Linked DNA regions of Mus musculus: region 1 is reported to be linked to region 2. Evidence: microRNA targets listed by miRTarBase, many of them from high-throughput screens and not tested one by one. Region 2 holds a microRNA gene; the other region holds the end of a gene's coding sequence.

Region 1 (3,000 bases), not on the chromosome of region 2:
GACCCCTAAAGTCAACTTCAACTTTCATGTGATAATCTCCTCTGTGTTACTGAGCTCCTCTGAGTCTTATTACTGTACCCTTTCCTAGCAATTGACCTTTCTTTTCCACATTTACTGTATCATTAATGGGGGTAGGCAGTAATGTGTATGCCAGTGACACAGTACAGACTTGTAAAGAGCAGAGAGACAGTACAGAGAATCTGGTATGGTGATCTGACCCTTTAGAAAAGATCTAATATTAGCAGTTGTCCATGACTGCTGTACCTTTCATTCTGAGCACAGAATGGTGGATGGTTCTATGTTAATGCATAAGAGCCATGCAAGGGATGTTTTGTACTCCATGTGCACTTCACCCAGATTATGAAACCTGACTAAACCATCTCTATAAAGTACATAAAAAGTAAGTTATGTTGTGGATTTTGAGTACCTTTTCTTTTTTTTAAGGCATTTTTTATTAGATATTTTCTTCATTTACATTTCTGAGGGTTGCTGGGTAGTTCATATTGTTGTTCCTGCTATAGGGTTGCAGACCCTTTTAGCTCCTTGGGTACTTTCTCTGGCTCCTTCATTAGGGGCCCTGTGTTTCATCCAATAGATGACTGTGAGCATCTGCTTCTGTATTTGCCAGGCACACAATTTGCAAAACACATGAAACTCAAGAAGAAGGAAGACCAAAGTGTGGATACTTCACTGCTTCTTAGAATGGGGAACAAAATACTCATGGAAGGAGTTACAGAGACAAATTTCAGAGCTGTGATGGAAGGAAAGACCATCCAGAGACTGCCCCACCCAGGGATCCATCCCATATACAACCACCAAACCCAGACACTATTGCATATACTAGCAAGATTTGGCTGACAGGACCCCGACATAGCTCTCTCTCTTGTGAGTACCATTTCTTCTTTCATTGTCTTTAGCTCTTCAGGACTATGTAAAATAACCACCACTAGGTCCCTCTATCACTACTTATTCCTCTTCCCAACACATAAGTGTGTTTGCTTCTATGTTCAGCCCATCAAAAAGACCTATAGATACAGCTTCATTAATGAAGATATTTAGAGAATACATTTTTATACAATTGTAATATGTATAGGAAACCCTAATTTAAGAGATTAGAATTGACTAAGCATGAGTTGACCAACAGGTTGCCATGAAGGCTCTTTCATCAAACATCTCTTTGGGAAGTACATTCTAGATCCAGCAATCACCTCCAAAGCAGAATTATTTTCAATGTCTTTCTCAGGTCATTTCCAGAGTACCTAGAAGCCTTGAAGAATTTAATCCTTGAACAAGCTTCTGTCTTCTCTCTCAATAGGGAATGGTGTCTTTGTGTTGTGTGTGTACATGTGTATGCATATTTAGGGCAGAAGTCAGTATCAGAGGATCTGCCTAGTCACTCTCCACCTTAAATTTTTAAGACCATTTCTCTCAGTGAACCTAGAGAAAACATAATTGGCTAAACTGGTTGAACTACAATTCCCATGGATCCTCTTGTCTTTATCTCCCAACTCTGGGGTTATAGGAATGTGCTTCTTGCACTGTTTTGTTGTTGCTGCTGCTGTTGTTGTTGTTGTTTCTTGATGCTGGTTGATCAATCTCAGGCCCTCATGCTTCTTCGTCATCTGAACCATCTTTTTCACCCCAGGCACGGTGACTTAAACTTACTTTGGCTTAGACATTTCCTTGAACAGGCCTATGGAACACAGGGACATGTGGGACATAGTCTTTGTTTTTGCCTCAATGTTACCTTATGCTTTAAGACACAGGCACAGTTCTAGAAAGAAAACTATTCTAGAACTCAAAGGGGAAAAGCACCATGAAATTGTGTCTCCCACTTGCTTCAGGAAAGACAGTCTTGAATTTGGGTTCACTCTCAATGAGTTCTATCCTTTCCTCCTGTCACTGTAGCTGAGTGCTACCACTGGCAACTTAACCCAAAGTAAACATGTGTGACATTAGCTTAAAAAAACTGTCTCCTGTGCAAAAAGTTCAAGGTAAGTCAAGCAACTTTCAAAGACACACTGGTATAACATGGTACTCTGGGTAGGAAACCAAAGGCCCATGCTCTGGGTGAGTCTGGTGCTATGCTGTGAGCAAGGAGGTTTGAGTGAGGCATGCACACTTTATGAAATGGGACATTGGTGACTCATGTCTGGATGGGTTGGTGACTTGCATTCAAACTGAGTGTTCATTTTTGTTTGTTTGTTTGTTTGTTTTTTCGAGACAGGGTTTCTCTGTGTAGCTCTGGCTGTCCTGGAACTCACTTTATAGACCAAGCTGGCCTCGAACTCAGAAATCCTCCCATCTGTGCATCCCAGGTGCTGGTATTAAAGGCGAGCTCCACCACCGCCTGGCTCTGAGTGTTCATTTGAAATACCTCCTTGCCAAGAAATAGCAGTCCTTGCTCTTATCACGGAGTCCTGTATGAGTTCATTTCAGAATGGCAAAATGCCATCAAAACGTGGAATTTCCCATGACTTCAAATCCAACCTCTTCCACACAATGTACAACTTCAATTTTGGTTTCATTCGAAGGTTTCTGCAAAACAAAGCAACTTCCTTACAGGTCTTTTAGGGAACATTTCATCTTTGATTTCTTTTTTTCTTTCTTTTCTTTTCTTTTTTTCTTTTTTTTTCTTTTGTTTTTTTCACAGTTGGTTTGAAGTAACTTTTAAAGAACAGTAGTCTGTTTAGAAACTAGGAAAAGTCAAGTGGGAAGAAGAAACTGTAGCTATAAACTTATCTCCTAAATATACCCTATTCCATTTTCTCAGCCTTTCTTGAAGCATAAAGCTTTCTTTTACAATTGTGATGAAGTAACAGGGACACACAGATTTATTTTTATAAAATGTATTATTATTGTTGTTGAGGGTCTTCTGCCATTGAGATATATTGCCCTAGCCCTTGCATAGGTATGTAGATTTTTTTCTTTATATCATCATGTACTCATCCAGCACATTTTCAACACCCATTCCAATCCAAAAAAAGGGAATAATTGGAA
Region 2 (3,152 bases):
AATGCAACAGAGACAGGGAGAGAAGTCAGGGGCCTGCACTGTCACTGCAGGCCTGTACCTTCGGGATTCTGTGAACACTGCGTCACTCTGAAATACGGATTACTAGACCATGATGGTTTCAAAGTCACATCATTCAGTCATGGCAGGACAAGCCTTTCATCCCCACCTCTCTGGAGGCTGAGGCAGAAGGATCTCAAGTTCAAGGCAAGCCTGGCACCTTAGTGAGACGCTGACTCAAACACAGTAAGGGGCCAGAATGTAGAAGTGTCGGAGCACTTGCCTGGCATACACAAGCCTTTGGTTCAATCCCTAGTACTTAAAAAGTTAAGAATTCATCAATGATTCTTCCAGCATTTAAAACAAAGCTATTGCTTATATTATAATTGTATTAACTATGGTGTCTTAAGCAGTCTGTAAAACAGAAACTCACCCCGGGTGGTTTGTAGATTACATTGTCTCCGTTGTACCTTTCTGGTTTTGAAAGATCTCTAATAAGAGGGAAAAAAAAATAATGTGTTAGGGAAAACACTAAAAACAATGTACTTTAATAAAACAGACTTCATAATCATTGCAGTGCATGAATTATAAAAACATGAAATATATTCTTGTTCATTATCTGTCCCATCCACAAAACTGTACAATAGCAAGACAAGCATACATTTAAAGGCAAACTAAGATGAAACAGACTTTTTAAAATAATGTTTCAGTCAGCCACTTTGGTATTAGAATTTATAAGTCTGGATTGGCAGGGTCAGCATGATAGCAATTTTGACTATATATTGATTTTCATCTATAGATTAAGCACATTAATTTGTCCACAGAGATCAATAAAATATATTAACTTTATACTTCTTACTTTTTAAACTTGCAAATTCTAAAATGATATTGAATTGAGATAATCTACATCATAGAAAGTTTTTGGAAAGCATGTCTGTACACTTGGACACTTGCCATTTCCTAGGCCTAGTACAGTATCTGGCATGCAAATATGTGGTCTTGTATAACAAATAGTTACCTAGTACAATAACTATTTGGTGAGAGAGTCCTACAGAAAACCCTAGGTCAAATGAGTAAGTTTCTCTTCCTGTACATAACTTGAGGATTAAATAAACACCGACACATCTTCAATCTCTAAGGAAGCAAGTGGTGCTAACCTAGACGGAGAGTGGAATATAAGGAAGGAGCTCTAGTAGGGAACTGTGAGACACAGGTGCTACGAAGAGGGAAATGGGAAAAGGGAAGAGGGGATGGAGGGCAATACTGAGAAAGAGCCAACAGGAAGAGGGAGAGGACACTGAGACGTCTAAAAGCTGTAGGAAACATTATCTTATGTTTGCTTAAGAGCCAATATACTTTTATATGTACATAAATATATGTGTGTATATATGAAGTCCTAATGAAATTATACCACTGGGTGTGATGCTCTCTCCAAAAGCCATAACTATCTAACAAAAACTCCGTTTGTCAGGCTTGGAACACCTTCCTTCTAGTTGTTGATAGGAGTTGAGTTGAGAGAGGACCTAAATAATATGGGCTTCTGTCTTTGGTTGCTCCTTAGAACTTCAAAGGATGATCCTGTTGCTGAAGACACTATACTTTAGATACAGGTCTTGGAGGAATCAAGCTGCAACTGACCTAAAAGCCCCCTCCCTGAGGACCTGCTCTCACAGTACCCGAAGGTGCTATGTAATCGCCAAGGGAGGATGCAACAGCCCCACCTAGCTATAAAGCCTACAAACCACACAATACCAAGCAAGGCAAGACATCCCCAAGTGTGTAACAGCGGCATCTACTCCCTAGTAAACAAAGCTGTATAACTAGACTTACGACCTGCATAATAGGAAGGAATCTATGTTTTGTACTGCAACCTAGCCAGCTATCCACAGCTGGTGAGGTCACGGAACCTAGAAGAGAACTTACTGCTTCCACTTTCCTATAGAATGCAGTTAGAAATTAAACTATAGGAAAGTGGAAGCAGTAAGTTCTCTTCTAGGCTCATCACTAAGACCATTACAGAAATCCACAACTGGTTAAAATTCAGAAAAAAACTGGCCATGAAGTACCAAAGCTAGTTGATACATCTCCAATACAACCCCTACACTAAAGTAGCTCACTGAACACAGTATAAGAAGGGGGCAGAAAGACTGCAAGAGCCCGAGGACTTGGAAGCTCTGTTGGGTGACTGTGTCTTCTTACATGGCAGGGAAGCTGTACCCATGAAATCTCAACAATATGTCTGCATAAACAAGACTTGCACAATGGCAACATCAATTGACACTGCAACATGAATGGAGAAATATCACAAGGCTCCACCCTAGAAGAAGACTAAAGGCAATTGATTGACGGCTGTTGAGAGAGGAAGGATGAGCCTTTGCTAGGATGAGCTCACTGGCACGTTATCTAGTCTCAAGTGGTCGTCCCTAAACAAATACACATAAAATGGATTCAGCAAGATGTATGTGTTTGTGTGTAGATATATGTATATGTGTATATGTATTTATACATATATATATATATATATATGGAACAATAATTAAAGAAGCAGAGGTTGTGAATTTGAGAGGGAGTAGAGGGACAGGAGGAGTTGGTAGGAGAAGGCTGGGTAGAAATGTAAACGCAGCAGTCATGTGTGATAGTCTAAGAAATTGGAATTAAATAAGTGGGTCACAGAAAAAATGAAATCAAAGCAGACGTCAATGATATAGAAACAAAGAAAATATAACAGATCAGTTACTCTAATAGCTGGTTCTTTGCAATGATAAGCAAGATCTACAGACTCTTGGCCCACTTAACCAGAAGAAAGAAAGCAATAACCCAAGTTAACAGAATCAGAAATGAGCAGGGAACATTACATCAGATATCAAAGAAATACAGAATATTAAAAGGGAATACTTTTTAAAACTCTACTTCATTAAGTTGCAAAATATGAAAAAAATAGATGAATATTTTGATTCATCCAAAATATTAAAATTAAACCAAGATGACACCAATAACCAAAAGAGACCCACAAGAAAGGAGTTAATTGAAACTGTAATAAACTTCTAAGTCTAAAAGGCCCAGTCCAGGTGGATTCAAAGCAGACATCTATCAGACTTTCAAGAGAGAGCTATAACCAACGTTTCCTAAATTCTGCAAAAAAAACCAAAAAACAA

Evidence for each region. The annotated mature microRNA mmu-miR-1958 reads UAGGAAAGUGGAAGCAGUAAGU and lies in region 2 at 1,915-1,936, opposite strand. An mRNA with a match to its seed (bases 2 to 7 or 8) in the 3' UTR can be bound and repressed. Matches are read on the target gene's strand: a 7mer-m8 pairs with bases 2 to 8, a 7mer-A1 pairs with bases 2 to 7 and ends in A, and an 8mer does both.
Region 1: miRTarBase lists Il5ra as a target of mmu-miR-1958. Seed matches in the 3' UTR shown: 7mer-A1 at 2,045-2,051, 7mer-m8 at 1,843-1,849, 7mer-A1 at 1,091-1,097 and 7mer-m8 at 762-768.

Annotation. Positions count from the first base shown.
Region 1 is chr6:106,709,928-106,712,927 of GRCm38, forward strand. Il5ra (interleukin 5 receptor, alpha) reads right to left here. Exons shown (of 13, transcript NM_008370.2): 13 at 448-2,538. The coding sequence ends at 2,455. Among named protein-coding and RNA genes, the nearest start is that of Il5ra, 38 kb to the right of the region's middle.
Region 2 is chr4:48,211,220-48,214,371 of GRCm38, forward strand. It overlaps Mir1958 (microRNA 1958), which reads right to left and starts at 1,996; the gene lies at 1,900-1,996. It overlaps Erp44 (endoplasmic reticulum protein 44), which reads right to left. Exons shown (of 12, transcript NM_029572.3): 7 at 431-488.